Arabidopsis thaliana: one gene and its partners. The main gene of each other region encodes a partner of the protein of the gene in region 4 in a complex. Each region holds a gene or a part of one and is shown on either strand. Other genes may lie near its edges.

Region 1 (4,412 bases), 1.7 Mb from region 4:
GTAAAAGATGGTTATTCATTTTTCGTTTTTTATGTTACAGATCATGGGTTGGTGTTTGCATCTCCGTTAATGAATCACATGTTTGATATGATTATACTAAGAATTCTATTAAAAAGAGAGATATATACTAATATAATATTAATCGGGTTCATGAAACATCCATCCCAATCACGTAACTTCTACTTTTGTTTTGCTGCCCACCTCATCTTCCTTTTACTTTTCATATTCTATTCACTCATCTGAATCCATCTACTCCACTATTATTTATAATCAACAAATCAATGAATACTTGTCACGATCATTTTATTCAAAAAAAAAAAAAAACTCTGATCACTAATCATACAATCGTCGTCACATTTGTGCTAATCATATCCCTATTGTTATATGACAGATTTTACTAACTCGACTTACTCCACAAGCCCTCTATCATCGCTAGCGACTGAATTAACTTGATGATTCTACTACTCATCTTACCAATTTAAAACGCATAAGCTAAACGACTCAATAAAGTAAAAACGCAGAATTTTTTTAAGTACTTGTGTTAATACAATAGTCACATGAATCTTGAAGAGTATATACATGATTCAACACGACACTACAAATTGGACCAGCATAAACAAAGATGATGTCCTAATCAATCCAAGGTAAGAAGAGACGTGCAAAAAAAAAAAAAAAGACATTTGATGAGAATGAATGCATAAAAATTGACTCTTTAACATTCTTAAAAGAGTCATGATTATTATTTGTTGATGATGGAATCTTTAACACACCATTCTACACCACACACAACATTCTCTGCTTCGTGACGCAACATATCGGCCACGACTCAAACACACACAAAAGACTTACAACTTTTTGAACGATCCAAACTATGATACCACATTAAGAATCAAAAACAAGAATCACGAATCGAATCTAGAATCCAACAATATATATTACAACATAAAAATTTGAAACACGCAAGAATTCATCAAATTCAAGCAGGTGTAGAGGTCCAGAAAATGTCCTTGAGAGCTGGTCTAAGAGCAGTACTGCAGAAGTTGTTGTACTCAAGCGTATCTCCATGATCTTTCTTCACTTCCACGACAACAAACGACGGAGCCACCGCGAATATCTCCGCTTCCACCGCCAATTTCCCTTTCCGACCATTCTGTTTACCTTCAATCCTTACTCTACTCTCACTCTTCCTCACATCAAACTTATTCCCAACTCTCGCCGCTTCTTCCAAACTCGAAATCACGCTACTCGCTGGCCGAGACGTCGCGAATCTCATCTCTCTTTTCTCCTCTTTCTTCTTCTCCTCAAACAACGGCGACAAATCAAACCCTTCCGATAACGCGATTATATGAAACGCGTTTAACGTCTCCGTCTCTTCCTTCGACTTGTGCACCAAGAAATCAACATCCTCTTCCGTGGTTGTGATTGTGGCAGCCACTGGTTCGTTTCTTGATCTCGTTGCTTGTTTCTTGAACCAAGGCGAATCCATAACCTTCTCAATAGTAATCCTCGTATTCGGATTCGGATCAAGAAGCTTAGTCACAAGCCGTCTAGCATCAGAAGAAAGCCAACCAGGACATTTGAAATCTCCTCTGTAAATCTTCCTATACATATTCACAAGATTATCATCTTGAAACGGCAAATAACCAGCAAGAAGCACAAAAAGTATAACACCACAAGACCACAGATCCGCCTTAGCTCCGTCGTATCCTTTCTTCAATATAACCTCCGGCGCAACATAAGCCGGAGTTCCACAAGTTGTATGAAGAAGTCCGTCTTGTTTCAAATGCTCAGTGAAAGCAGAGAGACCAAAATCAGTCACCTTGAGATTACCTTCTTCATCTAACAAGAGATTCTCCGGTTTCAGATCTCGGTGATAAACACCACGGCTATGACAGAAATCAACGGCTGAGATCAATTGCTGGAAATAAACACGAGCTACGTCTTCACGTAGTCTTCCTTTAGCCACCTTAGCGAATAACTCACCGCCTCGTACAAGCTCCATGGCGAAATAGATCTTGGATTTACTCGCCATGACTTCGTGAAGCTCGACGATGTTTGGATGTTTCACCATCCTCATCACAGAGATCTCTCGTTTGATCTGATCAACCATACCAACTTTCACCACTTTCTCTTTTCCGACGACTTTCATCGCCACGCTTTTTCCGGTTTGTATGTTACGAGCGTGGTACACCTTCGCGAATGTTCCGTGACCTAGAAGACGCCCTAGCTCGTAACGGCCGTGAAGCAGCCCCGTACTACTACCACCGTCAGATCCATTCTCCACCGGTTTTGCTCCGACCATGGTTTTTTACTTTACAACGATGATTAGAGAATTTTGTAAAAAAGTAGAAGAAAAAAAAGATTTACAGTTTTTCGATATCTTCGAAGAATTCGAGAGACGAGAGTTTAGAAAACTGGATCACCCGTCCTCGACGTGTTTCCGGTGGCAATTCCTGCCGCCGACGGATCGGTTAAACCGATCACACAGCTTAGTCTTCACCGGCGATACTCCGACCATCTCTCTGCATTCCCTTACTTAGGATTTTTTTCCCCGAAATTCAAATAGAGATTTCAGAAGTAAATTTTTGAGTAAATAAACGAAACTCTCGTTTAAAGTTAAAAATCTTAATTCTCCTTTTGCCGTCGGATAAGAGCTAGCAAAAGAGTAGTGTTTATATAGATCTTAACGACATTGCAATTACGTAGATACCCTTATTAGGGAGTGATAACTACACCGTTTAACCTCCTTTCGCTGACTGACATGTGTCTTCGGCAATCCCTTGGCGGCTTCGAGTTTGTCAATTATTTGGATAGCGATGACGACACGTGTCTTTTTATGACCGGTCACGATGCGATTTACTATTCTATCCCTCTAGTGTTTCGTATTACGGATAGGGATTAACGGCCTAGTGATTAATTTTTTTAGGGCCTGACGGATTAAAATGCAGCGGGTGCGGTTATGGTTGCGGAAGTTTGCGGAAACTGGCGGTTGCAGTTTCAAGCGTTATCAAACGTTTTGAACGACTGGTTGAACGTTTGATAATGGGTGCGTTTGCGGGAGTTTTATGACTGGTAAACCAGCGGGTGTGATAGTAATTAAACAAAAATAAACCAAAATAAATATAATATATTACTATTAAAAGAAAGAAAAATATAATATATTATTATGATAAATTCATAATATTAGAAAAATTAAATATAATTAAAAATTAAAACCGTAAATAAAACATTAAATTCAAAAATAAATAAATTTTGCAAGAAAAAGCTTAATACTTTATGCATTTGGTACATCACCAAAAATTACATCAAATAGTGTGATAAACTGTAAATAACGTTGAACTCGCGGATTTTCCAGATTGCCTCTATACATATAATAAAGTTTCTTCAAGATATCCAAACGATTTATAACACATCTCCAACTCAAAAAAAAATCAAACTGGTCGTGAATGGATGAACGAATATATGATACTTACTTTTGATTATTGATTTTGATTTTAATTTTTATCCGTTTGGGTGGATGCCATAATTGAGAGAATAGAGTTACAATATATTAATTATTAGAGTTTTCTAATAAGAATAAGATATATAGGGTTTGGGTGGAAAATATAATTATTTTAATTAATTATAAAAATAATTTTTTTTTTAACCTAACCGCTACCGCCCGCAACCGCAAACGCTTGCGGGAAGGAGCTTTTGAAATCTGGCGATTTCGAGCGGTCCAAAGCGATATCTAGCGGTTTATATGATTGGTGCCAATCGCTAACAACCGCTACCACCCGCAAACGCTGCGTTTGCGGGTGGCAGAGGGAGAACCAATCAAGCCCTTAGTTTAACTGACTACTTACCCATTTGCATTGCATTATGCATATGGATAATTGAGGGAAATAGCATAATTATATACAATGAATCAAGTTCTGTATCTACAAAAATTCATAAGGTTTATAAAGAAAATAGTTGTGTCTTAATGTAGGGTCTGATAATTTTCCATAGATTCCATGATTCTTTACTATAATTTGTGTTCAATTGTTTTCATTCGTTGTGGTCCTTGTGGACCATTATGTGAGTGTAGATTCTAGGGTTTTCTACTTCATTTCTTTGTTTTTATACACGAAGATGGTAGATAAACTGTGAAGTTTTTCTTGTTTATTTTGAGGCTATAATTTTTGAAACGGATGTTGTAGCAAGAATATATAAATTAAAAACATTCATAGATATGATAATTATCATGTGGTCCGTAAATAACTAAAGTTTGGTTTGCTGAAGATTCTCTATATTACTACAATCAATCAATTAGCTAATGAGTTTTGAGAAGATTTTTTTTGTTTTTGTTTTAAATCGTTCCATTTTAAGAGGAAATATTAGATATGCTATTTTATTAAGTTGTTATGCCCAACAAATAAGTCGTTCCATAT
Region 2 (6,294 bases), on a different chromosome or scaffold from region 4:
GAGGACCAAACTCTTTCTCCACATCCACAACAGCCTTAGCTGTTTCTAAACCAACAGGACCAACCTCCTCCTCCACATCTACAACATCCACAACAGCCTTAGCTTCATCCAAACTGTGAGGAACAAACTCCTCATCCACATCCACATTAGTTGTTTCCAAATTATGAAGACCAACCTCCTCCTCCTCCACACTCTTAGCTACAGCCTTACCTGTTTCTTAGCAATAAACAAGAGAGTAATACAGAAGAATAACAAAACCCCTAATTGAAGAATTGGTGTTCTTGTTCACATCTTCTTCGCCCTCAATTATTAATACAGAGTAACTTGGCCACCAAGTTTTCCATCTCTAAATTTTTGTTATAGTATTTGGTCCGACATAATCTTTATTGATATTTTTCTTTCCTTGATTTTGGTTTTAAAATCTCACTAACTTCAAGTCATGCTATATATTCAGTTTGTTTTGTCTACACTGATATTGGTTTTCAGTCCGCTTTCCTTTTTCAGGTTTTAAAATTATGAAAATAAATTTCGATTTGGTTCACACACAAGTGTTAGTTTGTTTTCAGTACATTTGAACTGAAATATCTATCGAATCTCAGCGTCCGACAATATAGAAATTGCAAAACCAAATCTGTAAAGCTTTTACTTTCCGGTTAATCGATTCAAGCCAAGAACCTCGCAACACGCATATGCTATTCACAACATTCCATGGAATCAAACATGATTAAAATATCAATAATCCCCATTCCCCAATATAGTTTCAAACTGCTTCTGCTCCACTTCTTGACGCTTCCTTTTGTATTAACTTCAAAACCACTCCGTACTACTATAGTAATTTATAACGAACAAAATCTATATTAGAAAAAAGTAAACAGCTTATGTCGACTGTTTTGCAATTGTCCGGTTAGCCATGGCACCATTAGTACCACCTGAAACATGAAGAAACAAAACAGGATTTGTGTTTACATGTTTCGTTAGTTTCTCCTTTTCTAGGAGCTTTATCTAAAAAACAGAGTATTCAAGGCAGATACTTACCACCATCGGTTCCTTCCTCTTTCTCTTCGTCGATGGTTTTCCAAACAATGTCCTTAAGTCCCGTGGTAAGGTTCTTGTAAAACTAAAAGAAGAGCAAGAAAGGATGCAAAAAGGTAAAGATTCAAACATCAGTTACTGGAAGACCATTTGACAAGCTCGGGTTTGATACAACCTGATCAGCATTAATAACCCTTGCATACCTTGTGGAATTCCAATGTGTCACCCCCTGATTTTCGCATTTCAACCATGTAAAGAGATGGAGCAACTTGAAAAACCTGAAGGTAGATGTCAATTAACTTAAATTAGGTTCAGCCAACCATACAAAGGGTGATCACTGGTCATTGTGAAAGCTAACCTCAGTGGCAACTGCCAACTGACCCTTGCGGCCTGATTTCTCTCCTGTCAGCTTCATCTGAAGGAGTTGAGAAATGGTTAAAGGGTCTATTCAGAAGCAACAAACCAATACACAACTCCACAGCATTGGGTAAATACGTAACAGTATTCTAACCTTGTAGTTATTTGTCTTGACATCAAACCCCATAGGTGCTGCCGCAGCCTCAATTTTTGTAACTATCTCATTAGCCGAAGATTTGGAAGTAAATCGAGTTTTTCGTTTCACCAGCCCCTGAAATCAGAGAAGCTTATCAATCAGAATGACGACTTCTATCAAACTAAGTACGGGCTTCCAAAGAAAAGTATTGGTCACTAAAATTTTGTGGCAAAGCTACTTCTTATTAGGTTTGACCAAAACCGCAAAAAGATAGTTAAAAATTGTCAACAAAATAAGAGCCTTGGGGGACGAAATTTAAAGACCAGCTTTACGTATCAGACTTCTGTACCATTTGTTTTTCGAAAAGTGAACCGAGATTGAGACCCTGGGATGTCGAGATGAGCTCAAAAGCATTCATCGTTACTGGTGTTTTGAGTCCTTCTTCTCGCCTCTCCACAACAAGATTCTTAGACTCCTATTAACAAACAAAAACAACTGAGCAATCATCCCGGACAAAGTACCGAAAAAAACAAACAAAAGAACACTAGCCTTACCCCTGAGTCATCAAAGATTGCATCAACATCATCAAGGCTGACATCAGCATTCTCAAATTTAGGTGCTTTATACCCTTTTTTAAACCACTCATTTTCAATGACCTCAGCAAATGTAATCCTCTGCCCAATATAAAAAATCAGTGTAAGCCTTCAGATCTACTCAATCCTATAGAAGCTTTTGCCTCTTCAAAGGAGAGATCCTCTAATATAAATTATATAATAGGGTAAGAAAAATATACCGTTGCTGGATTGGGATCCAGAATTCTTTTGATTAACTTCTTAGCACTTGCAGAGAACCAGGGAGGGCAAGTAAATTCTGCTTTGAATATCTGTAATTATGAAGAAAGAAAATCAGGTGGCTTTTATGCTATATACGTCTCATACAAAAATGACAGAGGCTTTTATACAGCCACCCAAATGCACCTAGACCTTGAAGCCTTTCTGATAGCATGTAAAATGATATGTATCAAAAGAAAAGCAAAAGAAGAAGAGGCAAGCGTAATACCTTTTTATATAACGACGTCAGGTTAGAATCTTCAAAAGGTAAATAACCAGCCATTAAAACAAAGAGAATTACTCCACAAGACCACAAATCAGCCTTCGCTCCATCATAACCTTTGTTGTTGATTACCTAGGGAGAAAATATAGAAGGTTACTGAGACTAGAAAATAATAGAATTCAAGTTTTGAGAAAATTGTGTGTCAGTTTTCAGTAGCAGTTGCTAATACCTCCGGAGCAACATAATTGGGTGTTCCACAGGTTGTGTGAAGTAACCCATCCTCCTAAAGAAAAAGGGTCACAAAATCAGCTTTTGAATAAATCATGGAAATCTTTCTCCTTAGAAGCCATAGTAGCTGAATTATCGAACTATGATATTTACAATGAAATGATAGAAAAAGAAATCAATATCTCGATGCTCACTCGAACTTGCTGAGGTAGAGCGCTCAATCCAAAGTCAGACACTTTCAAAGCACCATTAGCATCCAAAAGCAAATTTTCTGGCTGCAACCAGAATGTGCAACATGATTCAAACACATCAAACTTTTATTCTGATGCCAATTGATTCACAAGAAACCCTATGCAAGAGGATCACAAAGTAAGATTCCTAACCTTAAGGTCTCTATGATAAACTCCCCTGCTATGACAATAATCAACCGCATTAATCAGCTGTTGGAAATACTTCCTCGCCTCATCTTCCTTCAATCTCCCATTGCTTGACTAATACATGACAATTCTAAAGAATTAAGATCTCATTTCCACATAGTATTAAGAAAAAAAAAACACATCTTTCAATGAAATCTTACAATTTTATCGAAAAGCTCCCCACCAGTGACGAATTCCAAAACGAAGTAGATCTTAGTTTTGCTAGCCATCACCTGAAGAAGAAGAAGAAGAAGAAGAAGAAGAAGAAGAAGAAGAAGAAGAAGAAGAAGAAGAAGAAGAAGAAGAAGAAGAAGAAGAAGAAGAAGAGAATCTGTAACTACAAAGATACCAAAAAAATACATAGAATAATCAAATCCCTTATATTACATACATATGATTAGCCAGGGACCACAAATATGTTCCATAACTTCAAACGAATCTCAGCTTATAGCACAAATCTATAGAACAACAACAACAACCAAAACGTGCAACACAACTTTGAATTCAGCTTTATAGTATCAGAATCAAACCTCAAACATACGAATGACATTCGGGTGCTTGATCAATTTCATCGTCGAAATCTCACGCTTGATCTACAAAATCCAAAATCAAAGGTTATATCACAACTGCGTAAATCAGATTCCCAATAAGAACACAGCAGCTGGAGAATTGTATAATACATACCTGAGCGATCATCTTATTTTTCAGAACTTTCTCTTTATCAATAACCTTAATAGCGACATTATCACCATTCTCAACATTTCTAGCGAATTTGACCTTAGCGAAAGTTCCTTCACCCAAAGTTCGTCCAAGCTCATACTTACCAACTCGTGTCCTACCACCAGAAGAACTACCAGAAGGCGTTGATCGTGAAGGAGTCGATCGTGAAGGCGTTGTTCGAGAAGCCATCTCTCTCTCTATATATATATCTCGGTCTCTTATATATATATAGATAGATCTCTATTGAATCAGGAGGAGGACCTCTTCTTCTTGCATGGCTGCCATACTTGGGATTTCGCAACGCTCATCGTGAGAGATCTGCAGAAGAATTAAAACCCTAAGGGACCGGAGACCATATAAACAGCCGAAAATCAAAATTCAACTCTCGTGTGCGGAGAAAATTCAATTTGGACGAAGAAGAAGACTCATGAAGACGAGATTTGTATTTGAAGTGAAATTTTGTCAGTAGGGAAAATTCTGGGAATCGTAAATTTCGGCTGCTTTAGAAAAATCGAAGCCGGTTCTGGGAAAAAGCGAGTAACAGCAAGCGAGAGAGAGAGAGATTGTGATTCGATGGTGGAAGGAATTTAAAAGTTAAATTAAGAAGTAAATTAGTTAAGGAAATGTTTAATTAAAATTCTGTTTAGGGATTATACGAGGAAGGTTGTATCTGTAGGTTCTGACGTATACTATAGTTTACATTTTAAATTATTCTAGGCTTATCTTAGTCTTTGATAATTTAAATGCAAACGTTATGGACTTATGGTGATTACAGAAAATTATGTCATCCTTTTTTATCAAATATAAATAAAAGTAAATATTTTACTTTTTTACATGCCGTGTAATTAGCTGTCATAATTTTTTAAAACAAAATTTCGAAAAAGAAAATAAAAAATATGATATTTTCTCCAACCGAATAATCAACGATTTCAAAAGAGTTAAAGAACGACAGTAAAGAATTTATAAATTTTTCTTTATCTTTAATTTCTCGTAAAAATAAAAACAGATAAATTAGTACAAAAAAATTCTTACCTAACTTAAATAATATTCTCGAAATTGCTCAATTAAATTCTAATTAATATTAATTATTAAAATATATATATATATATATATATATATATATATGCAAACTTTTAATAAAAATATTGAACTAAGTCCACCACTTATCCAATTAGCTGCCATCACTTATCCAAGTATCTTTTTATACTCCGAGATTCCAAACATGTGTACTTATAAGATTTATAAAACGTAAGAGGATCTTTTATTTACTCTAATAAATACTATTGATTAGATTTGAAACGTCCAATTGAACTTTTGATGTTATGGAAAAGCCGTTACCAGTATCAAGGAGCTACGTGCCCTTTTCAATACTAAATGTTTCACAAAAGGGGCACTTAATGATACAAACCATTAAACATTAAATTTTCGATGGTTCGATCAAATGTTTAGAATCTTCTGTCTAGATTATATATGTGTTTGTGTTTCTATAAGAAATAATGCTCTATTATAAATACAGTATACAGTTATCAACCTAACTAGTTATACTTGTTTTTTCAACCCAAAATAGTTTAAACCTAGTTTCTGATTTTTATGGTGCTCATCAAAGAGAATGTTATCTAATAATCATCGTATTAGCATAAAACAATAGAACCAAATCATTGGTGGGCAAATGTACATACACATGACCTTGCCACGTTTTCTTGAAAGGGTTTGACTTTACAATTGATAGCCCATGAGGCCATGACCATCATGATGCATATTTTTAAAAATAAAAGTTATCTGATTCATATATATTCATACTCGTTTAGTCGTTGAATGTAAATTCTCAAATCTTTTCATCATAATTTTCTTCAGTTGATGATCATTGCAGATGCTTTAGATTGAAAATTATATTTAATCTCTTAAAAACCCTAATGTGTAAATAATGACTTTCTTATCAAGAAAGTATATTCCCGGTCAGTCATTATAATATTTGACCTCGGAAATAAAAATAAACCGACCCACGAGTTCGTGTTTGTGATCAGAAAACTAAATTAACGGAAGTTAACAGAAACAATCATGTTCGAGTGTCTGTTGGAGGCAACCAAGACATTATTATTTGCTTAATTAAAATGATTTTACAAAGCGTACAATATCTCTTTCTAACCTAATAATACCAAAACTAAACCCTTTAACAAAAAGAACATAACACCAAAATTCAATTCTAATAAGAATCAAACAATAATAATCTTTTTAATCGGTCGAGTTAACTGTACTTGAGACATATAGTCACAATTATTTTAAATCTATGTTTGATTATTTTATACGTAAATATATTTAAAAGTTCATCATTAGTAATTAAATTTTGAACTT
Region 3 (6,957 bases), on a different chromosome or scaffold from region 4:
GAACTTGAAACTCACAGAGTGGCATATGGAGCCCTCGAGGATGACACTCTACCGTTTTGGTAACACGTCCAGTTCTTCTTTGTGGTATGAATTAGCATATAGTGAGGCCAAAGGAAGGATCAAGAAAGGTGATAGAATTTGGCAGATAGCTTTTGGTTCGGGGTTCAAGTGCAACAGCTCGGTTTGGAGAGCGGTAAGGTCGGTAAACCCTAAGAAAGAGAAGAACCCATGGATGGATGAAATTCATGAGTTCCCAGTTGAAGTCCCCAAGGTCTCCACAATCTAGAAACCACTTAGTGGCAAATTTTCAGAAGAGGTTTTTGAGTTTTCAGCTTTTGATATTTTGTGTCTTCCCAGTGAATTTACCTTTTTCTTGATTTGATAATCAGATACACCAAACTGGTTAACAATATTTTTCTTCTTTTTTGCGGAAAAACTTGTTGTAGTCAGTAGCAGACCGTCAATGGTCGGTCCAGCTTGTGTTTTTGGTTGTTGTGTCTGCATATATATTTCCTTTAAGCATTCTTTGTCTCTTTCATTTTTTGACAAAGTTGTTAAAAACAAGAGTTATCAACTTGTCATTAATAACAATAGGTGATAGAATGTGGCAGAGAGTTTCTATGGTTGTTAAGAATCAGTTGCAAAGATGAGATGATCTCCATCTCTTATAACATCTACATCATCAATCTCTGCATTGTTGTCTTTGTTCATAACTTTGGTAGCAACAATACCAAACTTGTTGGAACCCAATTCTAGCAACTCCTTGAAACTCCCAGGAAGCAGTACCAGCTTCCCGGCTATGTCATCTTTCTCTGCACAACTAATCGTCACTCTCACCGGGTTTCCAGTTCTGCCTTCATCTACCGTAGCTAGCCCGTTCTTGGGTACGCTTTGATTTGCTAATATACCAAACAACGAGTTATCGAAGTTGTTAGTTTTACGTCTTGCTCTTGTTTCTCGAATCCTGAAAGACACTTCTCTTGATGCAGGACGGATGTTGGGTTCACTAGTGAATCTTCCGAGGAACCGGATCCCGGTTTTGAGTATAGGTACCGAAGAACTTGTCTCGATATGCACTCTCCTCTCATGTAACTTTTCTCGGAATAAGGCTTTAATATCCTCATGCCCTTGTTGCTCAGCAAGATCCCTCGGCGTCCAACCATGCATATCCTGCTTGTTAACATCCGCACCTTGCTCCAGAAGATACTTTACCATCTCAATGTTCTCTTCGCATACAGCGGTATGGAGCGCAGAGGTGCCTGTGGCTCTAGGACGAGTAACGTCTCCACCATGAAGAACAATTTCTTTTAGTAGTTTCAAGTTTCCTTGCTCAGCCGCCGTGCAAGCAAAATGACCCACATCCCCTGCGTCTATGGTACTGCCATGTTCTAACAGTACCTTTACAACTTTCTCATGCCCTTCCACCATTGCTTCCCACAGTGGTACACTCCCTTCCGCGTCTGCGTTTACATTTCGAAGAAACCAAGAAGCTCAATACTTCAGAAGAAATCCTGAAATCAAAAGGGAAGTACCAGAACTGAACAAGCAAGTACCTCTGCAATTGGGGTCTGCGTGGTACTCCAACAGAAGAAGAACACAATTTAGAGTTCCTTTTGATGCTGCTATATGCTGTTTCCAGAAAAAAAAAAGAGATCATAAGTTATAGTCTCCAAGAGCTTGGATGAGAAGAAAATAACAGAACAAGAATGTGAACTTGACTGACCAGAGGTGTTCTGCCATTGTTATCCGATTCATTTGGATCAAGTCCTCTCTTTAGTAACTGATGTAAAAGTAAATCGTCTTCTCTTATTGCAGCAAAGCATAAATTGAGAGGAAGATCCATTTTACCCCGTGCAAGCATGTTTTCTATCTCCAGCAGAACATTCGTCATCACCGGATCATTCATTTCTTTCAAATGCTGCTCTCCACAAAGAAAGAGAGTGAGAACAAGTAAGTAATAGTTCATAGATACTTTTCTGTTTTCAATATTTGAAAACCTCAGAAGGATCTGTTTATTCACCTGAAGTAGATTATTCATGATTATGGTACCATCACCAACATTGGCCTGAATAATATTCAAGAAAGTTGTACGGTTCATACGCAACAGTTGGCACAAACGTTTGGTCCTCACAGTAAACAGTTGTGGTCTGTAGCATAACACCCCTATCTCCCCTATAATGTCTCCAGCTTTAACCTCTCTCACAATCTGAAATTCTCCATAAACTTCTCTTTGTGAATGCTTAGTTACATCATAACTCCAAGATCACAGGTATGGAGACAAAAGGGATAAACATAAAATAAGAAACATCCATCAAGTGACGCGACTTACGCTTTCTGTTCCAGTATCTACATCCACCAAGTCCTGCATCATAACGGATATGTAAGAGAAGTAAGTTTTATGTCAACTCAACAAATCTGTAGAGAACTTTGTAATGTTTTATTACCGCGGTTCCGTTCACAAGGATGTAGAAGTCTGTTGGCGCTTCGTTCTGCAAGATAACATCTTCTTTTGGTGGGAAATACTCAGCTTTCATTTCTGAGACCTGTAAAATGTACAAAGTAGTGGTAGCTTCATTTGTGTGTTGAAAATGGGATATGAATGATGTTTTCACATGCATTGTCATTAGTATACCAGTTGAAAAAGCAGGTCATTGGATACTCCTCGAAACAGGTAGACTTTATCCATGAGGGAGTAGAAAAGAAAGTGTGATATACTCGATCTAATGGCCTTTGGGAGTGCATCAAGAGTTTCTTGCTGTTGCAGACCCTCAGAGTCAGTCCGGTATTTCAAACATAAATGTGCAAGCATTTGATCTTGCAGACGAGGTGGTAAATGGTTTCTATGAGCAAAATTTGAAGCAGCTTGGATTGTATCTCTCTGCAAAATGAGAACAAAATATTATAAACCGCGATGGATATGCTTCAAAGATTGAAGATGGATATGAAGATGCTAACTTACAAAATTTCTAGTCCGACTTGTTCCATGGACTACCAAATTTGTCATGTTACCAATCAAGTAAGCGGTTAATCCGAGGTTGAAGAGCATATAGAAGATATCAAATATCATCTCCTTTGTGTTCACAGGATGCAGATCACCATAACCAACAGTGGTTAGAGTAGTGATGGACCAATACATGGAAGTCACATATCTCATCCACAAGCTTTCCTCTAGGAAGTTTGCTACATTTGCACCAATCCAGGTCTTTGCGGGGTTAGAATTGCGCGCTGCGATAAGGTAATAGAAACATGCAGCACAATGAACCGCAAAAAGAGTGACCTGCAAAAATGCTCTGGTTGGTTAGTATCTACACTATTACTACATCGAGAGTGTAGTAGTTTGAATAAAGATAACATTATAAGAAGCAAAACATTTTGATGTTCTTACACAAACGAGTTTTGCGCATCGGACCCAAAAGTAGTTGAAGTTGCGGTCTTTCTCTAGTCTGTTAAACAGAGAATGTCAAGATTAAAGAAAATAATGAAAGAAAGAAGAAAAGTTTAGTGATTCTAACCTGGCAAACAAGGCACCGACTCTGCGAAGACGCCAAAGACGAAGCATGTTAAACAATCCATAAGACTGAGATGAGATTCTCATAGCAGCCTCTGAGGGAATGGTTGAAACAAGATCAAGAAGGAACCAAGAACGCAAGTACTTAAATGCAATCTGTTTACGGTCATCAACAATGAGGTAAGTCGATTTATCGAGGTAACCAACAAAGAATGTCATGATGATATCGATGGCGAAGAATGCGTTCACAATGTTATCGGTGATAGATAGTGGTGGCCTTGGCTTTCTCAAGAACCCAAACTCGAAAGGCGAAACCCAAGCTGTGTAAACCACAAGAACCACTAGGAAAGCCTCCCATATCCTGTAGTCAACATTTCCATTTCAGTCATATTCAATAATCTAGTACATTTTCTACATGTAGTTGAACATATCTCTTAAGTTACTGCATGAATATATCCAAGTAAGTCTCATATTTAATTTATCAGTACTTTGTGTTTCAATAGTATGTTACTATTTGATGACGCTATTGAGGATACAACAACCAAGTACAGTTTTTTCTACTTTTGGTTATAGTAATATATCAGATTTGATATCAGTCGTTGAAATCAAGTAATGAGTGCCTTGAATGTTCCACATTCTCTTTTTCAATTACTATAAATTATCCCCAAAAAGCAAAAGCCAAAAGCAAAGGCGGCTTTTAAGCTAATTAGCCAACGAGAGTAATAATGGGAGCCTTGAATATTCTACAATAGCCTTCACATTTATAGATCTTCTTTTTTGAATATTAGGGAACTAGGATTTGAATATTCCAAATGTTGAGTAAAAAGGGAGCTTTAGTCGTCAAGTAGTTAAAATTTTCAAATTAACCTAAGAAAATATTATTATTAAAAATCAATTGTTGTTGAGGTAAAAAAACGTGGAAACCAACATTTTTGTGTTGTTTGACCAACTAGCATTTTTTATTTGCACGTAATTTTTTTATTTTATGAAGAAATTAAAACATTTTTCAAATAAAATAGTCCAATAAGATAAAATAACATGTTATTTGTTTAAAACCAACATGAAACTCTTACTATTTTGAGGGTAAACTTGTAACCTAACCAAATAGTTATTCACCTAACTCATAGAAAATAAGGTTAGTTAATCTAGTGCATATACTTAATAGTATTTACCCACAATAAATTACAAAAGTTGATCACCAACCATTAAAAAGAATACAATTTTTTTTTATATTCAGTATTCATTTAATAAAATACAAATTTGTTAACTATGATCCTAAAGTAAAGTTAATTTCTTGTTTCCGATCCTCATAAATGAAAGAATCAGAAGTTATATAGTTGAAATATATATCAAGTTAAAATGGTAATCGTCTTCTTAGCTTGACATGGAAGAGAAACAAGAAAAACAAAAAACAAAAGAGTGAAACCTGTATTTGTGATCATAAGGAGATACAACGAATCTCCTAAGCTTAACTCGTCGATTACTTCTTGCACCAAGTGAAGGTAAAATTCCAGTAGAAAGACTAAAATGACTACTCTCTCTCGAAAGCTGTTCAATCTCATCTTGGACTTGTCCGCATAACAAAGCCCCTCCTCTCATCACCGACGTTTTTTTTTCTTGGCTTCCTCTTTGATGGTTCCTTTTTTTTGTTCTTTTGGTTTCGGCAAAAGAGGCAAAATAAGCAGCTTAACTCTTGGCTTTATTGGTTTCACATTTTTTTTTCACTCGTTGTTGATGAGTGAGACCTTTTTTTTTTCTTTATAACAAAAAAAAACTCTTGGCTAGTTGGCTTTATTACGGGTGTGTGTGTCATTTCTGACTTTGGATCCCTTCACTTTCAAGGAATTAAGTTTTCTCTCGGCAACACAGTGGTTGGCCCCACTTTCACGTCTTAACCCTTACTGTAGCATTAATGGTGGCTTCTCCATTTCAAGATAAAATAAAATATCATTCTTGCTCATAAATAATTGTATTAACAGAAGAAGAAAAATTAGACCGAAGAGGAAGAGTTGACCAAAAATTTATACATCAGAGCATGATCTCAAGTTTTTCAATCATTATACTTACTATTTTATTGTTTGTTTGACTTCTAACTAAAGGAAAAAAAAAACACATATAGATGTAGGACACGACTTAAAACTTGTTTTAAAATATTTTAGGTGATCGATCATATAACATTCTTGGGCTCATTTGTGGTATGGAGATTTGAAGTGAGATATTGATTGCAACTTATGGTATGATTGGTTGCATACTTGCATAAAGAGCAATAAATGTTAAACTGTCATACTTTTATTTTAACGAGTAAAGGAAAAGCAAATCGTAAAAAAATAGTTTTTCTTTGTTTGGGCATAAAAGAAAAATATTTTGGTTCATCATCCCTAGATCGTAAGCCCTTTTGTTCACCTTTTCCTCGTCTATCTTACTCACTTCTTGTCCATCATCGTATATATAGGGAATTTAAGATAAGCTAGACATTTAGCCTTTAGGATATGATAACTACCATTGTTTGGGGAGGAAGCTACTTAGGATTTAAGTAGATAATGTAAAATGATGAGGGATAATAATGAACTTTGGATAACTATCCATTTTCTTGAAAGAGAAGTAATGTGATGGATAATCATCACATTTATAACAGTTACCTCATTAAAGTGGTCTTATTACTACAAATATTTGTTGCTATTTTTTCCTTCAAGTTCTGGATTTCTCAAATTTCATATAGTTAAAGTTTTAATTTACAAGATGTCTACTGCTATAGATAAATCATAAAGGTTTGATTGCTATGTCGCTAGGGGAGGAAGATGACCTTTTAAATATATTTGATCTACTTCAATATTGCTCTAGTGAAAAGAGTGTTGTGAGTTTGATAGGAAGAATTCGTAAATCGGATTGCCAAATGATGGAGCTAATCCTAGATAAGCCAAGGAACTGGCAAAAGTATGAAATCATCATAGAGATGGCTATTTCCTATAGAGAATGTTAGATGCGTAACAACCAATTTTCTTTTACTTTTAGAATTTTCTTTATTTACTAATATTTCAGTTAGAGGTTAGCACACTTCTTGTTCCATCCCATAACTGTTCGGGTGTTTCCAAATTCCTATCTTATATAGGAATGTATTCTCAATATGGGACAAGTTGGTATTTCCAAATAGAAACTGGAGGGGTTCCCTAAGTCCTGATTGTGACAAATACAACTAGTATATATATATATATATATATATATATATATATAATATTCTAAAAACTTAATTGATTTAATTTATGTTTAGTTGTTCTAAAATGGATTATGTTTCTTTGTTTTTTCAAGTTTTAACTTTTCACTATATAACACACTTTATCATTTTTTCTTGTTTGGAAAATATTTATGCTAGATAAATTGAAAACATGTTAATTATAGAGCAAGAGTTTATATTTTATTTTATTGTAACAGGTTCTAAGACCTTTTTTTAT
Region 4 (4,809 bases):
AAGGTGGTTCATTTTCTTGAGAAGAGTCTTTCATTACCAGAACGCCTCAAGATCCGATCTTGGCACCAATCCTTTCAATTCTATCGCTTGGATGGTATCAGAGCTCATCGCTTTACTTTTACAGATCACTGTGATAACATCCACACTAGCTTTGTCCAAAAACGAGAGGCCTGTTTGGCCGATGAGGTTATGGATCACTGGCTACAACGTTGGATGTCTGCTCAATCTTATGTTACTATACGGTCGGTATCGTCAGCAAGATACTAGCCATGAAAATGCATTTAGCTTCGGCGATATTGAGCAGCAACAAAGAAGCAGGGAAGAGACCACCAGGTTACTAACAAAAATCTAGTTTTTTCAAGTTTGATCATAAAATGCAAAGATTTCTAGGAAAATGACTTATTTTTGTGTGTGTTTTAGGTGCTCGCATTTGATGAACAAATGCCGGACATCGCTGGAGCTATTCTTTGCGATATGGTTTGTGATAGGTAATGTATGGGTTTTTGATTCTCGGTTTGGTTCTTTCCACTATGCTCCAATCCTTCATGTCCTCTGCATCTCCCTACTCGCTTGGAACGCTCTCTGTTACTCCTTCCCATTTCTTCTCTTCCTCCTGCTCTGTTGTGTTGTACCTCTCGTTAGTAGCTTCCTCGGCTACAACATGAACGTTGGATCTTCGGAAAAAGGAGCTTCAGATGACCAGATCTCCAGTCTCCCAAGTTGGAAATACAAACTCATTGATGAAACTTCTGATTCTTCTCAAGCAAACAATGATCCGGTAAGCACTAATTTGAATTCTGAAATAGGTCAAATAGTCAGAAATCAATCTTGATATCAAAACTGAAACCCACCGGTTTCATTATTGCAGGAATGTTGTATATGTTTGGCAAAGTACAAAGAGAAAGAAGAAGTGAGAAAGCTTCCATGTTCGCATAGGTTTCACCTCAAATGCGTAGATCAATGGCTTCGTATCATCTCGTGTTGTCCTCTTTGCAAACAAGATCTCCCTAACTGAAAAATCAAAACAATACATGAGTCACAAGATTGAATCTCTGACCAAGTACCATATATGTGTTTTTTTTTTTTTCTGTTGCCGCCTAAACACGTTTACTTGTGTGAATGTCGTTATCATTCCTTTTTTTTTCTTGTGTACAAAGTAGCTCACCAGTAACTGTAATTTTACCTAAAAAAAAAGTTAAAAAACATGATCAATCTGTTGTTTTACCAGTAGAGTTTGTCCCTCTCTTACCATTAATCAAAGTTTTAATTGTTGGTTAATGTAACTAAGCTTATACTGGTTTTTGCTATAATATTTTTTCCAAAGACAATTTAAACCGAATTCAAACCCAGAGACCAAATCAGACCAAAGCAACAGTCAGAATCCGAATAACATGACACGCCGTCGTATAGGAACGATTATTGAAACGATGGTGTTTAAGACAGCGCATAAATGGACACATGCTCCACTAGACGACGACGTGTGAAAGTGAATGTAACAAGGAGTTTTATTACAACTGTATCAACATCGAGTAAAAATAAACAAAATTATTTATTTTTTAAATTTAAAAAGTATAAAAACGCCAACAAACAAAAATAATTTGGTCTTTTTCTTAGCATATTTAAAATTTTGCAATATATTCATTCTGCTTATAGAAAATCGTGTCGACCTTTTTTCTCTCACTTACCCAATAAGAGCTTTTTTCGCGTTTTCCACCGCAACCACCGTCACCTTCAACCGCCGGAGCCGCCGCAAGGAAGGCTCATCATCCGCCGTGGCGTAAGGCTTTTTCTTCTTCTCTTTCTCCCTTTTCTACGATTTCGCGGTCGGTCGCTTCCTCGTAATCTCGTGTGTTTATTCCGGGAAAATCGCGATGGGAAACAAGTTAAAATTTGAGATTGAGAATCAAGCAACTAATTTCTTCGCAAGCTGATAGATCCATGAGCTGATTACCAAGTTTATATAACGAGATTCATCGTTGTTGTATCTCTGAATCCGAACGATTTGGAATCTAAAACTCATTGGATCGCTTTTTCTCATATCCGTCATTTCTCCTTAGCTTAATCACTTCTCTGATTCATATCGCGATTAGATTCAGGTGTCGATCCTCAGAGGATTATATTTTCTGACGATTAATCCGTCTGGATAGTTTTATTATGTTCTTCATGATGCATTTTTTTTCCCCGCAAAATTCATGATGCATTTCTGACGTGAAATTGGGTGTTTTTGATTCCTCATTTTATCCTAGTTCATGTATTTTTTGGGGCTGTTTCTTAGATTTGGGTTTCGTGTTTTAGCTTAAAGATAGTTCCTAATCCATGAATACATTGGTTAATCTGGAAATGAATCTGGAGTTAAGATTAATGCATAAAGTTTACGACCGTTTATAATATGCGTCTCCTCTGTTTGTGTTTCATAGTATCTGGTGCTTTAGTCTAATTCAGATCTGATCTGAGAATGATGAATCTTGTTTGCTCCTGTCAATTCTTCTTTAACTGTTTTGCAATTTGATGAGCTAATAACTGACTATATCTCATTTCCTTCCCATCGCAGAATTTTTTGAGGTGTACAAAGCATTGCCTATTTGACGAACCAGGAAATGGTTAAAAGGTACTTATCTTGTTCAAATGCATATGTCTTTAGATTCTTCCAAGTGGTTCGAAAGTTCTTACATTTTATTGTTATTTAACAGGCATGGAGAGTTTTGATTTACAAGATATATCATGTCGCAGTGCATAGACGGTTTCAAGCATGTATGCTCCTCTTTTTTCCGGTGTTTTGATATCGATATTTACAAACAATCTGGAGGCCTTGGTGACCCTGAACTTCTTGCGAGAGAGACAGTTTGTATGCTCTCAACTTCTTTTCCATCTTATTTTAACTTCCATGCACTTTTTTTTTCCAGTTATATGTATGATTCAAAGGCTTGCCATTACTCTAGTTGATGCTCTCTGTTAAGAGGAATGCAAATCTTTCTTTCTGTGTTTTGATCATTGACTCGTTTGGGTGCAGTTAGCGTGAGTGAAATAGAGGCTCTCTATGAGCTGTTTAAGAAAATCAGCAGTGCTGTGATTGATGATGGGCTAATAAACAAGGTATGAAGGAAGGGCATCATTATATGTCTTTTATGCCACTCACTTATACTCCTCACGAATCATGCATATTGCTACGTCTTTTGGACATCCTTTTCTGATTTTCCTTGACCTGTCTTGTCGTTCAGGAAGAATTTCAGTTAGCCTTGTTCAAGACAAATAAAAAAGAGAGCTTGTTTGCAGACCGGGTATGTTCTTCTTTTTTAATCAAAAGACTTTGTTATCCATTTGCCAAGATCCTTTTTGAAAGATAACTTGACAGTACCAATCACAGGTATTCGATTTGTTTGACACAAAGCATAATGGAATACTGGGGTTTGAGGAGTTTGCGCGTGCTCTCTCTGTCTTTCATCCAAATGCTCCCATAGAAGACAAGATTGACTGTACGTCTTTGATCTTACAAAGTTGATCTGAGAAACCATCTATACAATTTATCTGATGTTGACATGCTACATGTAACCCATGAAATATCACTAACAGTTACCGGGAACATTGTTTTGCAGTTTCGTTTCAGCTATATGATCTTAAGCAGCAAGGTTTCATAGAGAGGCAAGAGGTGAAGCAAATGGTGGTGGCTACTCTTGCTGAGTCCGGCATGAACCTGTCAGACGAAATCATAGAGAGTATAATCGACAAGGTGTGGTTCCTTCCTACCCTGCTCGATACTATATTCTTGTTCCACTGTTGTATAGCCAACTCATGATAGCAGTTGAGAATAAAGTAAAGAGTGGTTTCTAAGTTTCTTCTTTCACAGACATTTGAGGAAGCTGATACAAAACATGACGGGAGGATCGATAAGGAAGAGTGGAGAACCCTTGTTCTCAGGCATCCTTCCCTTCTAAAGAATATGACTCTCCAGTATCTTAAGTGAGTTCCTAAACCAAGACTTATCCGAGGTTTAGGCAATGCAACTTCCAATTTTTTCTGTGTTATTATTAACACCGATCTCTGATATTGTGTGCAGGGATATAACAACTACATTTCCGAGCTTTGTGTTCCACTCGCAGGTGGAAGATACCTGAGAAAAACAATAGCATATTAGCAGAGGAGACAATTTGGGAATTGTGTTTGTTTTCTGATTATGTATCATGTCTATTTGTTTCAATCTCTCTGAACATTTTCAAGATTTTGTTGTTACTTGTGTGAATTAAAAGTAAAGAAAACAAATCTGTATTTTTGCTACTCCTGATTTTGATTGCTGATTTTCTCCTCGCATCTGTAGATATACTACTAACCTTGAGACATGAATCCTATTAATAAAGAGCAAACTGATGAAGTGATAATAGAGAGCAAAAAAGAGAGAACCCAACACCAAATGATCGGGTATGCTCTAGTCTGAATTCTGAAGTCAAAATTGAAATCACCGATTTGATCGAACCGGATGCAACATTACAACAATCGGATTTGTTAGTCTTGTGGTTGACTTTGTCAGTTAGAGTTGACAAAGTAATTAGCAAAGTTAGTGACGATTGTGTTCTGCATAAACACGTTTACTTTGAGGAATAAATTACTTACTCTTTCGGTCTTTCCTAATATATATGTTTTCCCTGTCTCAAAGATCTGAATAGGTATCAGAGCGCGTTGACAATCTCTTTTTTTGATCATCGATTTGTTCTCTCTTTCTTGGCTAAAAAGTTTCTATCTACACGACTCTCCATGGATTCAACAAGAAATTCAGCTTCTTCCAACTCCACGGGATGCTTTACGGATCAGAAAAAG

What was found.
Region 1: CBL3 (region 4) and SIP3 share a complex: the UniProt entries of both Arabidopsis thaliana proteins name them as parts of the K(+)-channel calcium-sensing kinase/phosphatase complex.
Region 2: CBL3 (region 4) and CIPK23 share a complex: the UniProt entries of both Arabidopsis thaliana proteins name them as parts of the K(+)-channel calcium-sensing kinase/phosphatase complex.
Region 3: CBL3 (region 4) and KT1 share a complex: the UniProt entries of both Arabidopsis thaliana proteins name them as parts of the K(+)-channel calcium-sensing kinase/phosphatase complex.

Annotation. Positions count from the first base shown.
Region 1 is NC_003075.7:15,065,290-15,069,701, reverse strand, and holds SIP3 (SOS3-interacting protein 3), read right to left. Parts: upstream 2,675-4,412; 5' UTR 2,303-2,674; coding exon 977-2,302; 3' UTR 519-976; downstream 1-518. Other genes in the region: AT4G30970 (uncharacterized protein), read left to right, coding at 392-436. UniProt on the Arabidopsis thaliana protein: CIPK serine-threonine protein kinases interact with CBL proteins. Binding of a CBL protein to the regulatory NAF domain of CIPK protein lead to the activation of the kinase in a calcium-dependent manner.
Region 2 is NC_003070.9:10,653,107-10,659,400, reverse strand, and holds CIPK23 (CBL-interacting protein kinase 23), read right to left. Parts: upstream 4,602-6,294; 5' UTR 4,132-4,601; coding exon 3,907-4,131; intron 3,816-3,906; coding exon 3,753-3,815; exon of another isoform or gene 3,614-3,752; intron 3,456-3,613; coding exon 3,384-3,455; intron 3,298-3,383; coding exon 3,190-3,297; intron 3,082-3,189; coding exon 3,001-3,081; intron 2,862-3,000; coding exon 2,808-2,861; intron 2,711-2,807; coding exon 2,585-2,710; intron 2,409-2,584; coding exon 2,319-2,408; intron 2,200-2,318; coding exon 2,080-2,199; intron 2,001-2,079; coding exon 1,875-2,000; intron 1,661-1,874; coding exon 1,544-1,660; intron 1,448-1,543; coding exon 1,391-1,447; intron 1,311-1,390; coding exon 1,236-1,310; intron 1,118-1,235; coding exon 1,036-1,117; coding exon of another isoform or gene 1,019-1,035; exon of another isoform or gene 930-1,018; coding exon 877-929; 3' UTR 501-876; downstream 1-500. UniProt on the Arabidopsis thaliana protein: CIPK serine-threonine protein kinases interact with CBL proteins. Binding of a CBL protein to the regulatory NAF domain of CIPK protein leads to activation of the kinase in a calcium-dependent manner.
Region 3 is NC_003071.7:11,331,338-11,338,294, forward strand, and holds KT1 (K+ transporter 1), read right to left. Parts: upstream 5,402-6,957; 5' UTR 5,108-5,401; coding exon 4,935-5,107; intron 4,082-4,934; exon of another isoform or gene 3,870-4,081; coding exon 3,513-3,869; intron 3,444-3,512; coding exon 3,386-3,443; intron 3,278-3,385; coding exon 2,960-3,277; intron 2,879-2,959; coding exon 2,633-2,878; intron 2,544-2,632; coding exon 2,445-2,543; intron 2,363-2,444; coding exon 2,330-2,362; intron 2,207-2,329; coding exon 2,021-2,206; intron 1,919-2,020; coding exon 1,724-1,918; intron 1,630-1,723; coding exon 1,554-1,629; intron 1,461-1,553; coding exon 628-1,460; 3' UTR 513-627; downstream 1-512. Other genes in the region: KCS11 (3-ketoacyl-CoA synthase 11), read left to right, coding at 1-286. UniProt on the Arabidopsis thaliana protein: Highly selective inward-rectifying potassium channel that mediate potassium uptake by plant roots in response to low K(+) conditions, by a calcium-, CBL-, and CIPK-dependent pathway. Positively regulated by phosphorylation by CIPK23.
Region 4 is NC_003075.7:13,407,911-13,412,719, reverse strand, and holds CBL3 (calcineurin B-like 3), read left to right. Parts: upstream 1-1,649; 5' UTR 1,650-2,096; intron 2,097-2,551; 5' UTR 2,552-2,608; intron 2,609-2,690; 5' UTR 2,691-2,721; coding exon 2,722-2,845; intron 2,846-3,010; coding exon 3,011-3,093; intron 3,094-3,218; coding exon 3,219-3,278; intron 3,279-3,352; coding exon 3,353-3,473; intron 3,474-3,593; coding exon 3,594-3,727; intron 3,728-3,844; coding exon 3,845-3,957; intron 3,958-4,054; coding exon 4,055-4,112; 3' UTR 4,113-4,298; downstream 4,299-4,809. Other genes in the region: AT4G26580 (RING/U-box superfamily protein), read left to right, coding at 1-333, 421-778, 869-1,015; CBL7 (calcineurin B-like protein 7), read left to right, coding at 4,747-4,809. UniProt on the Arabidopsis thaliana protein: Acts as a calcium sensor. CBL proteins interact with CIPK serine-threonine protein kinases. Binds calcium ions. Binding of a CBL protein to the regulatory NAF domain of a CIPK protein lead to the activation of the kinase in a calcium-dependent manner.